Notamacropus eugenii: one gene and its partner. The protein of the gene in region 2 purifies or fractionates together with the protein of the main gene of each other region. This does not show direct contact. Links are inferred from orthologs where the notes say so. Each region holds a gene or a part of one and is shown on either strand. Other genes may lie near its edges.

Evidence for each region. The genes of interacting proteins can lie anywhere in the genome.
Region 1: the proteins of TACC3 (region 2) and SLAIN2 purify together in Homo sapiens (co-immunoprecipitation; 3 studies listed by BioGRID and IntAct, counting the BioPlex papers as one, with this or other methods). This does not show direct contact. The link is inferred for Notamacropus eugenii from reciprocal best matches to the Homo sapiens genes TACC3 and SLAIN2.

The regions. Positions count from the first base shown.
Region 1 is NC_092877.1:102,737,809-102,745,035, reverse strand, and holds the start of SLAIN2 (SLAIN motif-containing protein 2), read right to left. Parts: upstream 3,062-7,227; 5' UTR 2,674-3,061; coding exon 2,282-2,673; intron 1-2,281.
Region 2 is NC_092877.1:50,058,987-50,066,471, reverse strand, and holds the start of TACC3 (transforming acidic coiled-coil-containing protein 3), read right to left. Parts: upstream 3,037-7,485; 5' UTR 2,790-3,036; intron 501-2,789; exon of another isoform or gene 441-500; intron 1-440. UniProt on the Homo sapiens protein: Plays a role in the microtubule-dependent coupling of the nucleus and the centrosome. Involved in the processes that regulate centrosome-mediated interkinetic nuclear migration (INM) of neural progenitors.

The DNA of each region.
Region 1 (7,227 bases), about 53 Mb from region 2:
TTATATAGCATCTATCATGTGCTAAGCACTTTACAAATTATTATTTTATTTAATCTTCACAATAACCTTGGGAAGTAGGTACCAGTATTACCCATTTAAAATTGAAGGAACTGAGGCAAACAGAGATTAAGTGACTTGCCCAACATCACAGGGCTAGTGTCCAAGGCTGGATCTGCTCTCAAGTCTTCCAGGCCTGGCACTCTACACTCTGTCAGTTAACTGCTTTCCAGCTAGGAGACCAAAAGTTTATGAAAACAAATATGTAATTTCTTCCCCATCTAAGTTCAGAGAACTCCCTGAAATTTACCCATGTGCCTTGGGGTTTGTGAATCCTGGAGCTCCTACCTGTAGTGTTTATTATATGTGCTATGCATTGTTTTTTCAATTCAGTTCAACATTTATATTCAGCATGGCATGATGAACAGTGCTGGCCTCAAAACCAGAAAGACTTGGGTTCAAGTTCTGCCTCTATCCTTGTGTCCAGCTGTAAGAGTCTGAACATGTCACTTAGCCTCTCAGAATTTTAAAGAGCTCTCTAGGACCATTAAGTTGCATAGTAGGTGCTGGACTGCAGTCTAATTCCTAACTTGTGTGCATGGGCACTGGGAAAGATAAAGGATACAAATACAAAAAGAGAGGGGTGGGTGTCCTGTTTTTAAGGCCCTTAAAAATCTATTTGAGGAAGTGTGTTAGTGTGCTGTATTCAGCAGAAAGAAAGCTAGAGTTACTACACATAAGATTTTGGGCAAGTCCTTCCCTTCTTCACCTGAGTGTTCCTTATCTGTAAAATAAAGATAGCAGTAGTACTTGTACTACCTACCTCACAGAATTATTTTATTGTGGACAAATTGTTCTTCACCACTTACTAACTGTACAATAAACTTGGAGCAAGACACCATACCTCTCTGGGGCAAGTTTCCTAACATGAAAAAGAGGATGGGGGTGTTGGGCTAAGTGACCTCTAATATTCCTTCCAACTTTAACTCCTTTAATCCTAAATCTTAAGGAACTCTTATCATTTAAGCTATTGAGACTTTTCAGTATTATTTTACGGGGCTTGTTTCTTTTACTCAACAGGAATAAAAGTTGGGGCGATGTCTAACGCTTCTCTTTTACCCCACACAGGAGAAGGTAGCATGCTGTGGAGGACAGGGAACAGATTTGGAAGTCAGGTAGACTTAGGCTCAATTTTGCCTTAGACCCTTACTTCGCTGTATAACTGCAGAAGTCATTTTACTTCTGTCCTCTTCAGTTTGCTCATCGGTAAAAAAAAGGCGCTGGATTCCAAGGTTCCTTCCAGCTCTAAATCTATGACCTAGCTCAGTAAATAGATGCTCAATACCGAAATCTGCCAACAGACGCTGCCTAATTCTGTCAAAGATTGCACTAATTCTGAAACCTCTATTTTAACCAAAAAGGAGAAAACATTTCAATGTTAAAAAGAGTAAGTCCTGAAATGATGAATTCATGAATAAAAGTTCCCCTAACGCCCAGAAGAGATTCTTTCAAGCGTTTACGAGGGATGGAAGTGATTTTTAAGGTGTGGGTCATTGCTTTCCTCGAGGGACAGGAAGCTTCAACAAGCCTCTCTTACCTGCCCTAGAATAATATGAAAGTGACGAGTAAAGGTGGTAACTCTTCACAACCTTGAGAACTACCCCAATTCTTGAATAAACACGGAAGGAGCAAACAAATGAGTAGCCAAAAGATACGAGGGAGGCCCGTCTTTGGTTCTCTGCACAAAGCAGCCCCGTCCTCTGCCCCCATCACATAAAGCGAAGCGAAGCTCGGGGTCCCCAAAGGGGGGTCCAGTTTCACACCATCTTCCTCCCTTTCTGGCCACCCACACCAGTCATGCCAAAGTCTCACGCTTTCCACGCGGACTCGGACCCTTTCGCACCAAAAGGAGAGAGGGTCCAGCTTGTCCCCAAGAGCCAAGTTCAGTGACTTCTCATCGAGCACGCCCCTCCCCAAGTTCCTTCGCCGACACCCTAATTCCCAGGCCGCCCTCCTCGAGCCACACAAAGCGGGGACCCTGCCTACTCTGCCCCCGTTGCAGCACCGCCAGTGCTAGTGCCAACAACTCAGTCCAGGTCTCCACCCGCGCCCCTCCCAGCAGACGTGTGCTTTTCTTCTCATCTTTTGGCTCAGGCGACCCTTGCCCCCAGGCCAGTCTCCAGAAAAGAAAAGCGAGGGAGGTCTCCCGAGACAAAGCCCGGCCTGGGCCCGGGGGCAGTCGGTTGCACAGCCCCCGCCCCGCCCCACGAGCGCCCCGGCTCACCAGCTCTCCTCCTCCTCCCAGCCCAAGAGGCGCTCCAGCTCGTCAGGCCGCAGCGGCTCCACCTCGTCCAGCACGCTGCCCTCGCCGGCCGCCAGCAGGGACGCGCTCCCGTCCCGCAGCTCCTCGCTGCTCGTCCGCCTCAGGCCCGGCCCGGCCCCGGTCGCCGCCGCCGCCGCCTTGGAGCTCAGGCCCAGCGGGAAGCCTCGGGGAGACGCGGTCCCGGAGGCGGCGGCGGAGCCGCGGCCGGGGCTGCCCTGCGCGGCGGGGGCGGCTGCCTGCGCGGCCCCCGAGCGGCTCCTCAGCTGCTCGTTCTGCTTCTCCAGCTTCTTCACCAGCTCCTGCAGCTTCCGCACCTCCTGGTCCGCGTTCACGTTGGAGTTAACGTCCTCCATGCCGGCCCCGCGGCCCCCGCCGCCGCCGCCCTCCTCAGACACCAGCCGCCGACGGGAGGAAGGAGCAGGAGGCCTGCCGCGTCGCCGTCCCGGCCCCGGCCCCGCCGCCGCTCTTCCGCGCTCTACCCGAGGCGCCGGCACATAGCAGGGGCGGGCACCGCCGCCAGGGTCGCCCCAGCTCGGGTTCCGAAGCGCCGCTGGCCCCGACCGAGCCGCCTCATCTGCGCCGGCTCAGGACTTGGGGGAGGCGGCGCCAACATCCGGCCCCCGCAGCCATCTTCCATCCGTTCCTCCGCCCCCTCGGCCCCGTCGGTGACTTCAGCACGCTCTCGGACGTGGCCGCCGGCCGCCCTCAGCAGTTGCCCAAATGCAGCTCAGCCAGGGCTGAGGGCGGGGCTGCCAGGCCCGTCGACCCGGATGGGGCGACGCGCACGCACGCACCGAGTTCTCTCTCACCCGCCCAGCTGGGGGGAGGGGCCGACAGGGGCGGGGGGCGGGGCCTGGACCCGAAGGGAGGCGGGGCCACGCTGCAGGGGCTGGGGGTGGGGTCCTGGCCAATCCAGTGTAGGTGGATCTGGCCGGCGCCGCGCTGCGTGGAGTCACCTGGCAGATGCGCCCCACCAGGTGCGAAATCGCTGGAAGAACCGCCTCAACTCGATCTGCCAGACCTCTGGGGGCGGAGCCGAGGCAAGAGGGCACCTCCCATTGTGACTGAGCTGGCGTGGTGGCCTGCCAAGACCCCCGACTCCAAAGGGTGACCTCAGTTTCCCTTCTATGAAAAAGAGCGGGATGTGATTGAAGGAAGCCTTGAAACATCTGTATGTAGAACCAGAACGATCGTGCAACAACCACGTTATAAAGACAAACAACTTTGAAAGACTTAGACACTGATCGGGGCAATGACCAACCAAGATTCCAAAGCGGTGATAGGGGAGCATGCTCCCCACCTCCTGATAGGGACGTGTCGGACTCGGGGTGCAGAAAAGCGCACACTTTATACTGGACTTGTATTGGAATTTGTTTTGCTTGCCTATGCACATTTGTGATACGGGTTTTTTTTTCCTTAACTCAGGGGAGAAAAAAATAGATTTCTAAGTGAGAAAAAAGAATTTTTAATTCAAAAAAACATTTACAAGTTTTAAAAACGATCATGTAGAATCATTGGCCCATCCATTCCCAAAATTCTTATCTAATGTGATCCCTGGAAAGTCTCGAGCTTAGGAAATGAGGAAATGATCAAAGAAAATCCCCTTCAAACCCTCTTTTATTTTTTCTAGCTATTTGTTGAAATAAGGTCCTTTTTGAAAGAACCTATTCTTATAGGCTGGATTCCACGCCCAAACACTGTACCCAGTGGACAAACTCTCCCGTTGCAATAACGTCCCCACCCTCAGCTTTGTTGCTTCAATGCCTGGCACCACCCGACCCACGTTTGCCCTACTTATTATATTGCGGGTCATGTTCACTTTCCCTTTCTCTAACATAGAAGTCCCTGTTGTTTGTACCATTGCTTAGGCTGCACTTACATATAAAATATATATATATATCTTTATGAAAATTAAACGTCAATATGATACACAAGTTGTTACTAAACTGATGAAAAGTATTTTGGAAGTTAAGAGTCTCATTTCTAAACTGCACTGTAGTTAAGGATACTTTGTTATTTATCCACTATGCAAATTTGTTACTAGCCTAGACTTGTATTAGAGACAGCTGGGATTTTCTTAAACTTTTTTAGTGTTTTGATTCTGTCATTCCAATTGGAGATGAAATCTAAGCTGCCTAACAGTGGGTGTTTCCTGGCAATTGAATCAGCTACTCCACTATCCTCACCCACTTAACAAACTATGATCAAATCCTATTTCAAATGGGTTTGGATTTTCCAGGCAGGTAAATATACTTTTTTTCTGCAGCGAAGCCTTTGCATGTTAATTCCTCTGTGTCCTTAACTTTTCCATTTGAAACTCTGCTGAAATAACTCCACTAACCTCTAGTGCCTTTACTTATTCTAGTATACTCTGCAGCCCACAAGGCCCCTTCTCACAAAGGACATAGATCAGGATTTGTCCGAGATCTCTGCCCCTGACCTCATGCTGACTGTGGAGAAATATCTTAAGGCAAAGGTAGGTAGTAATGAGTGTGTCACCTCCTTAGTTCATGCACAATGAACTTCCTGATTTCCATTCCAACACAAGGAAACATACCTAATGGGAAAAAAAGAACCTTCACCCTCTTTCCCATCCCAGCATCACAATGATGAAAAATCTTTTAATTGATTCCTGAACCAGAACTGAATGTGCAAAAAAAAAAAAAAAGTTTGAGCTGATGACCTGTACCTCTCTTCCCTGGCATCTTTGAATGTGGAGGACTTCCAAGATCAAGGAGAAGTAGCATGCCCTCCCTCCTAATCTATCCCTGAATTCTTGACATGGACCTTCTGTTTCTCCTTTCCTAATCTTAGGGAAATGAAAGATAAACAGAATTGAATAGATGACACCCTTGTGAGCTTTGAAAGGTTGGAAGGACTATCCCAGATCACCCTCAGCAGCCAGAATAGATAGCAAAAAAAACCCCTGAGGCTAGTCACAGCAGCTGAGCCCAGGGAAGCAGCCAATCTCAGCACCAAGGGTAAGTACAGCTGCTGCCCCATCCCAAGCAGATTTGGTGGGGACTCCTTATAGAGAGAAAAGGACTCCCAGGGCTAGAAGTCTTGAGATGCTTCTTGATCCTACATGTTCTTTACACGTGTCTGTGAGGAAAATATAGATTATTATTTATTAATTTTGTTTGAACCTAGCTTTATGTGGCTAGAAAATTGTGTAATCCAAAATTACTGTAGAGGTCAGAGCCCCTCCAAGGAAGATGGATGGCTGAAGGGAATGCTTAGATCCCACCCAAGTCTTGTTTGGGTCCACTAAACTTGTTTTGAATTTTCCAGATTTGAATGTTTATACTTACCTGCTGATATATATATCTCAAGCTACTTAGTTCTGACAATTGCATTATCTAGTGTGGCCAGTCAGTCTAGTCTGAACTCTCAGTAAAGTCGCAAAGAAATGAGGAAGGAGCCACACCTTTTCCCAGCCCTCTCCTTTTCTAAATGACCTAATAAAATCCAAAACCTATTTCAGGTTTTGGGGTTTATTCTCTACTGAGATTTGCTAACATGCCGCACTAACATAATTATTTAAAGTTTGAGCCCACTCTCCCCAGGAACCAGTATGTGCAGAGGGGAGAGAGTTTGTCTCCTGTTTAAAGGGGATATTTTATAACTTGTGTTCTACTATCCTTTCTTAATAAATTCCCTTTTGTAAAAGTTAATTGATGAATTTATTTATTCAGTGCCATACCAAACTACCAAAAAGCATTTTATAGAGATACACAAAATAATAACAAAATTCATCTGGAAAAACAAGGTCAAGAATATCAAGAGAATCAATGAATAAAAATGTGAAGGAAGTACCTAGCAGTACCAGATCTCAAGCTGTATTACAAAGCAGTAATTATCAAAACAGTCTGGTACTAGCTAAGAAACAGAGGGGTAGATGAGTGGAATAGGTTAGGTATATAAGACATAACAGTCAATGACTATGGTAATCTACTGTTTGTTAAACCCAGTTTCTGGGATAAGAACTCACTATTTGACAAAAACCACTGGGAAAACTGGAAAATAATATGGCAGAAACTATGCATAGACCAACAACTTACACTGCATACTAAGATAAGGTCAAAATGAGAACAGGATTTAGACATAAAGAGTGAAGATCAGATTTTTTGATGTCTTGGGGAGAGGGGTGGGAATGGAGGGAGAAAAAATTTGGAGCTCAAAATCTTACAAAATTGAATGTTGAAAACACTCTTTACATGTAATTGGAAAAAAATAAAATATTATTAAGTGGGGTGGGGGGAGAGAAGAAATATCCTTTTCTGAAAAGAGAATGAGAATTCTCCTTTCTCTTTATCTCCATTTCTCCCTAGTTTCCTTATCTGGTTCCCCTGTCAATGGAAATTTGAATACACTTGTCCCCTTGGCAACCAGCAGTTTTGCAATTATTTTAAGACACAAAGATACTCAATTTATACAGATTTTAAGAGTTTGAATGACTATCAGGGGCCATGAAATCCAACTTACACTTGAATAGGAATTACTTCTATGCCATCACTAAAAAAGTACACATCCATCCTTTCCTTGACAACTGCTGCTAACATTTCATAAGGGGATTTGAAATTCAAAAGCATTTTAATCAATATTAAAGAAAGAATCTTTCTATGTATTTTTAAAATAAAGCTGTTTCATCACAGGAAAAAAAAAAGAAATAGAAGGGTGGATCAGTGGAATAGATCAGGTATACAATACACAGTAGTAAATGACCATTGTAATCTAGTGTTTGATAAATGCCCCAAATCCAAGCTTTTGTGACAAAAATTGCTGGGAAAATTGGAAAGCAGTTTGGCAGACACTAGGTATAGAAGTGAGCCCATCTAACAAGCCCCCAACAGTGAGAAACATGCTGACCTTAAACAAAGAACAATACCTGTTGTGAAATCAGGAAA
Region 2 (7,485 bases):
CCCCATCTGCCCTTGTTGACATAGGAAGAGGTATTCTCTGCGTTTACTTCAGAGAACAAAGAGACTGTTAGGTCCAGGCTCTTCTTCAAGCTCTGGCCCTTATTAAAGTCCAAAAATGATATTAAATATTATCAATACTTACAGACAAACACAACCTCTCAAAGCCTCAGTTTCCTCCTCTGTAAAATGAGGATAATATCCTTGCCCTACTTAGCTAACAAGATTGTTGTGAGAAAAATATCCTGCAAACTTTAAAGCACTGGAGATTATAAAGAAAGGAAGCAATTTGTTCATGGTCACACAAATTAAGTGGCAGAGCCAGGATGTGAATTATTTGAATTTTTAAAAATCAATCATTTTATCCAAAACTTACTGATTCGACCTTTAAAACATCTTTTGCATCAATCTTTCTCTCTAGTTGAAGCTTTTATTACACTCACCTGGACCAACCTCCTAATTGGTCTTCCTGCTTCCAGGTTCTTCTCTCTCCAATTCATGCTCTATGCAGATGCAAAAATCATCTTACTAAGACAGATCTAATCATGTCCCTTTCCTGCTCAAAATTTCTAATGACTTCCTACTGCCTCTAGTATGAAACACATGCTACTTCATTTAAAGCCCCCTATAATCTGACTCCAACTTAACTTTCCAGTCTTTTTTTCCCCATGTTATTTCCCTTTTGAATTTCCAACCAAATTGAACCAGTAACTATCCACAAAACTCAACAAACCAATTGCCCATGCCTAGAATGCACTCCCTTCAACTCTGCCTCTCAGAATTTTGACCTTCCTTCAATAATCAGCTCAAGTGCTACCTGCTCTGGGAAGCCTTCCCTGCTAGCCCAAGGTGCTAGTGGCTCTTTGGCTTCACAAATTACCTTATCTTTACTCATCTCAGGTGCCTATCGATCTTCCACCTAGGAGAAGGTAACAATAACTAACCATGTATAATAATAGTAACATTTACACAGCATCTACTATATGCCAAGCACTGTGCTAAGCTCTCTACAAATATCTTATTGGATCCCCACACCCTGGATGTGGATGCTACTATTATTCCCATTTTACAGATGAGAAACTGAGGCGGGAAAAAAGGTAAATGATTTGCCCACAGTCACACAAGCTAGGAAGTATCAGAGGATGGATCTGAAACCAAATATTTCTAATTCCCAAAGCACCTTAACATACATCATGCCTGTGAGGAAGATCGCCCCTGGGGCAACCAGCACTATGCCCTCAAAGATGTGAGTTCATGCTCATGAAAGCAAATCTTCTGTTAAGTGTACACCCAAATATCCTGAGCCCCCCAACTCAGTGTGAAGCTTGGGTTCCTAAAGTCATCTTGGATATAGATATTGTTATTACCAGGTTAACAGAAATCTAGGCAAAATAGAGCACAGAACCAGTAAAAGCTGGTTCTGACTGAAGAAAAAAAAAATTTTTTTTCCTGCTACTTCTGGCACAGAGTACTGCATTTCCCCAGCATTTCCAGTACGGCCCCCATGCCTAGAATGCTCTTTCTCTGCATCTTCACCCTCCTGCCCTCCCTAGCTTCCCTTTAAACCTTGGTTAAGGACCCACCCACCTTCTGCAAGAAGACTTTCCCAACACTTCTTAATTCTCGTGTCTTTCCTCTGAGACTGCTCCCAACTTATCCTGATTACATCGTGTTTGTATGACTTCTTTCCATTATACTGTGAGTTCCTGGAGAACACAGGACAGTTTTTTTGTTTGTTTATTTTTCTAAGCATCCCCAGAGCTTAGCCCAGTGTCTGGCACATAGTAAACTGGTGGTTAATAAATGTCAGTTGACAGAAAAGGAAACAAACATCAGGAATCACTCTCCAAATGAGTGTATTCCCACTCTCCTTCCCTAATCACTCCCAGAAAAGAGCCTTCCAAAACAGTCCTAGTAAAGGAGATCAAAATCAGGTGAAAATAGGATGAAATTCCCATCATCCTGTTGTGCTGAAGTCTTTCTCCTGGAGTTCACACAAAATAACTTGACAACCTAACACTTTTATTCAAATACAAAAGGCAGTAATTGTATCCACCTGTGAACAGTTCAGAGGGCATTAGAACAGTAAGAGAAGGAGAGCCAGAAAAACAAACAAACAAAAAAAGCCCTGGCCTGTTCATATTTTAACTCCGCAGAATTTTTTTCTAGAATTTTTTTTAGAATATCTTTTCTACAATATTTTTTCTAGAATAAGAACAATAACTAATAACTGGCGTTTATATAGAGCTCTAAGAATTGCCGAGTCCTTTACTGAGCCTCACAAAAACCTAGGGAGAAGTAGGTACAATTACTATCCCTTTTATGGACTGGGGGTAGGGGGTGCGGGGAATCAGGGTTTACTAAGCACCTACTGGGTTCCAGGCACAGAGACAAGCGCTTTACAATTGCCATTTGTGGTCCTTCCTATTTTATACATAAGACAACCAGGGCGAGCGGAGGGGGAGTGACTTGCCCAAGGTCACCCCGCCAGTAAGTGTCTGAGACCCGGTGCATTCAGCCTCAAAACAGGGAAACCTCGGCTCCGAGAGGTTAAGACACGTGCCCGGGGCTCCCAGCTCCTTAGTGCTAGAAACAGGACTTGAACTCGGGTCTCGCCGACACCAGGGTTGGCCCGGATGGATCCTGGGGCCTTTCCTCCTCTCCCCACCCCCACCGCTCCCCGCAGCTCGCAGAGACCCGGACTCGCCCGCCCTCCAGAGAGGCCTCGCCGCCTCAGACAGCCTTCCACTCGCACGGAGAAGGGCAGGGCCAGGGAGGCACGACGTTCCTACCTGCCAGGCTATGGCCCGCAGGTCGCGAGCGCGGACGAGGAAGGAGAAGGGCTCCCGAGAGAGGGACGGAGAAGCGCCGGGGCGCAGAGAAGCAGCAAGTCTGAGAGCCCCAAGCAACGGCGGCGACTATGCTTAGACAGCTCCTCCCCCGAGCCGCCGAGATTCAAATAGGAACGGTCGAGCTCTTTCAGCCAATCAGAGTGCAGATCAGGAAGCTCATGCGCAGAGGAGGACACGCGCAGACTCCGTTGCTTCCACGGGTGCGTAGCCGCTGAGCCCCGCCTCCTTCCCTGCGCTCCTTTGTCCGCGGGTACCTTCCAGTCGTTCGGAGGAAGTGGTAGTGCTGGGAGCCAATTGGCGCTTACGAAAGTTCCGTTTCCGGTCGCGCGGTAAAGGCTGGGAAATGAAGTCGAGAAGTGGCCCTGCTATGTAGGGAAGCTATAAAGATTCTATGCCATTAAAAAGATGCTGAAAATATGCGGCAAATGTGTATAAGCTACATCGTTTAAACGTACGAGTAATAATATTCGTTATAATGATAACTAGAGAAGTAGGCCTCCTGATGGGTGCCGCAGCTTTCAAACTTTTTGGTCTTTACCAGCTTCAAAACTGTTGAGGACCCCAAAGGATTTCTTTTAGTGGGACACAGCCTTCGCTACGTATTTAATTTTTGTATGTTTGCATATTTAATATAGATTTTTTACGTTTGAAATTAAAACTAACAAACTTAAAATCTTTATTAATTCAATTAAAACAACAGTAAACATTCGAAGTAACATAAACATTTTTATGAAAAATAACTTTTCAAAAAAGATTGAAGAGTGGCGTAATTTTACCTATTTTGCAACACTCTTTCATGTCTGACTTTAGTGGCAATCTGTGCTAACAGGAGGGAGCACTAATGTATTCACAGATACATTCCCCCCAAAACGAAAACTCACATTTCACTTTCCCCAGCTGGGAGTCTTGGCACTTCCCTGACACTTTCAAAGACACTTCCCAAAATTCTCCTTTACCAGGAGGATCAGAAAGGGAAAGTGATTTATCTAAGGTCACAAAGCAACTGAGCAGCCAAATTGTGATTGGTCACGAATGTCCTGACTTCTGGTCCTGGACTCTGTGATCTGCTATGCTGCCTTTTTCTTTCTTCTCAAATACAAACAGATAAAGCCAGATTCCCTGGCTTTATAAAGCCCATAAATTACACTCAAAGAGAACACTTTGCTCACTGTCCTTTAAAACCATGGCTGCATAACAAGTAATTGTAACTCAGAATGTGAAGGGGACTAATTTACCCATAAAACTGAAAGGACAACAATTAAAAATCTGAATTCAGCAATAAGTTGCTTTCAGGAAACTTTATAAAAGTGAGAGATAGACACAAAGATAAAATAAAAGGCAAGAGTAGAATTTAATGTGTAAAAAAAGCAGGAATAGTAATCATCTCAAAGTTAAAGTTAAAATAGATTTAATCAAAAGTGAAAAATACTCTGTGTCAGCAATATTATTCAATAGTTTTAGAGTGACCATTTAAAATACCTAGATTATATAAAATACCTGAGTGTATTCCTGCCAAAATAGACACCACAACTATATGAACATAAATATAAAATGCTTTTTATAGAAATAAATGCAGATCTAAATAATTGAAGTAATATTTATTGTTCATGGGTAAGTAAAGCCAATATAATTTTTAGAATGACAGTTTTACCTAACTAATCTCCGTATTCAGTGCCATCCCAACTAAATTACTAAAAAAAAATTATTGAGTTAAAAAAATATAACAAAGTTCATTTGGAAGAACAAAAGGTCAGAAACTTTAAGGAAACCTGGGGGAAAAAGATGTAAAGGAAGTAGATTTGGTAGTATCAAACCTTAAAGTGTAAGGTGAGAGCATTGTTGAAGTGTCAAAAAGATAATTTCAATTATTTTAAGTTGAAATTTTCTTCTATAAATAAAACCTATGTAGCCAAGAATGCAGAAAATCAGGAAAAAACTTTCATAGACAATCCCTCGGATAGGATGTAAACAGGTTGGAATATTGCTGTGATGTAGGAAATGATGAGCTGATTGATTTAGAAAAACATAGAGACTTAGACTTAGGAAGGAAGATGCTATACACCTTCAGAAAAACAGATGATGGAAGAAAATAAGCATAGTATGGTCTTACATATATATGTATTTTATATGGAAATTTGTCTTATATTGAATCCTCTCTTATGCTCAGCTATGTACATGGCAATAGTTTTTTTCTTTTCTAATTTTGTAATTTTAAGTTAAAAATAAAAAAATATTTAAAATTAAGTTTAGAATTTAAAAATTAATTTTTTAAATTTTAAATTAAAACAATAAAACAGCCATATAAAGAAAAGCAATTATATTAAAATACAGTAATCAAAATTTAAAAAAAAAAGACAAGTTCACAGACCCCCCGAATAAGGATCCTAATGATTTCCAATACTGTATCATTTTTGCTTTCCCGCAGAAGTAGCTTTTCACAGAGGAAGACGATAAAACTATATATGTCCATCAGACAAGTCACCACAAGAGGGCGATTCAGATAATGTATTTGGTCAGCATAGTGAAGAAATAATTCATAGAACTTTATAGCTGGAAGGGACCGCAGAAGGCTTTTTGTTCAGTCATTTCAGTCCTATCTGACTTTTTGTGACCCCATTTCGGGTTTTCTTGGCAAAGATACTGGAGTGGTTTCCTTTTCTAGTTCATTTTACAGATAAGGAAACTGAGGTAAAAGCAGGGTTAATTGACTTGCTTGGGTCACATAGTATTTGAGGCAGAATTTGAACTCAAGAAGTCTTCCTGACTCCAGGCCTCGAATTCTATCCACTAAGCCATCTGGGGCCATTTGTTCATATACTTCAGCCAAACTGGACTACAAAATTCAATATCATGCCACAGTTTTTGTTCTGTCTTGCTCATGTAGCAACACTTGGCCTCTCTTTTTTCAGTTTTTGATTCCTTTTGTTCTACACCACCATTATTTCTCAGTTCACTTCCCCACCACCGTTGACTTCTTTTGTCACCAAAGAAAAAAAAAAACAACTCAGCGAAACAAATTGGCACAACAACCAATCATGAAACATTCCATTCTAGTAGTCCCTGAACCTCAGACCAAAATTGGTGATACAGTTTATCAGATTTTGACTAATTTTTAGTGTCATTTTTGTTTACATGACTGTAGTCATCACATATATCATTTTCTTGTTTTTGCTTATTTCACTGTAGACATCAGTTCATACAAGTGTTCCTTTGTGTCTCTGAATTGGTCATATTCAAAAGAGAAATAGGGAGTCTGAATTAGGGTGATGGCTGGGTGAGTCAAGAGAAGGGGTGGCAATGTGAGAGTTATTGTGAAAACAGAACTATGAAGATTTGTTAACTGATTGGATCTGATGGGGTACAAGCCCAACCCAAGACCTTTTTCCCTTGGATCGGAAGAGTTGCTGGGAAGTCTGGCTTTTGGGGGATGGCTCCTTGGATTCCCCTTCCATTTCTCCCAGGCCACATACTCCCTATCTTCTATTTAGCATTTTTGATATGCCTCCCTTTGATCGTATTACCAGACACTCCTCTCTGGGTTTAATCTATCTAGACCACCCCTGGGACCTGAGATTACCTGGTGACACCTGGATTCTTCCCTCAGTCTTTTTCTGTATTTAAGTTCCATCTCGCCTCCATGAAGGCATTCAGATTCAGTCCAGCTCAGACTCTGCCTAGCTGAGATTCTATCTCGACTGCTTGTGAATACAAGTATTATAAATCTTAGGCTCCTAAAGAGTCAACCTAAGGTGGTGAATCTTTAATAAACTTTGGTTTTCTTTGATTTAAAGAAGTCTTGAGTCGAATTCATTTGAGCAGGACCTGGCGTGTCGGTATTTCAGGGTCCCCAGCACTCCTCAAACCTCATCAGATCCTTGGCCCTAAGGACAATAAGGAGTTGAGGAGACTGGGAGGTTGGTGCATGCAATTTCCACTGAAATAAGGAAGTTTGAGAGAGGGGAGGAGTTGGGTTTTTTGGTTGATTTTTTTCCTGGGGATGGTGGAGGGGAATAACGAGTTCTAGTTTGGACATGTTGAGTTGAAGATATCTGCAGGACATTCAGTTTGAAATTTCCTGTGGGGGATTAGTGATATGGGACTACAAGCTCAAGGGAGAGCCTGTGAGTCATTTGCATAGAGATGGCAGTTAATCTCAGTGCCACATCCTTTACATGGCCTTTCCTCATTTTCCCAGTTGTTTGTGTCTCTCCCAATTACTTTGTATTTATTTATCAAGAGCAAGCACTCTCAATTTGGTCTGTTTTCCAATGACTATCATAGATGCTCAATAAATGTTTGCTGGTTGACTTTTTGAATAACTGACTGCCTTTGCCTGCAAGGAATTTATACTATCCTAAGAGGATACAATATAGACACAAGTAAAGTTATTTTTTTTTTTACAAGTTAGTTTGAGGAGAGGAGAGAAGGCAGTAGTAAATAAGAAAATCCAGGTGACCTCTATTGAGGCCTTGAAGGAAGGTAAGGATTTGGAGATGCAAAAATGAGAAAGAGGGAACATTCCAGGCAAAAAGGAATGTGTGTACAAACACATGGGGGTGGAAGATGAAATGTCAAGTTTGTGGCATAGTTAATAGCCCATTTTAGCTGAAATGAAGTTCCTGAATAGGAATAATAT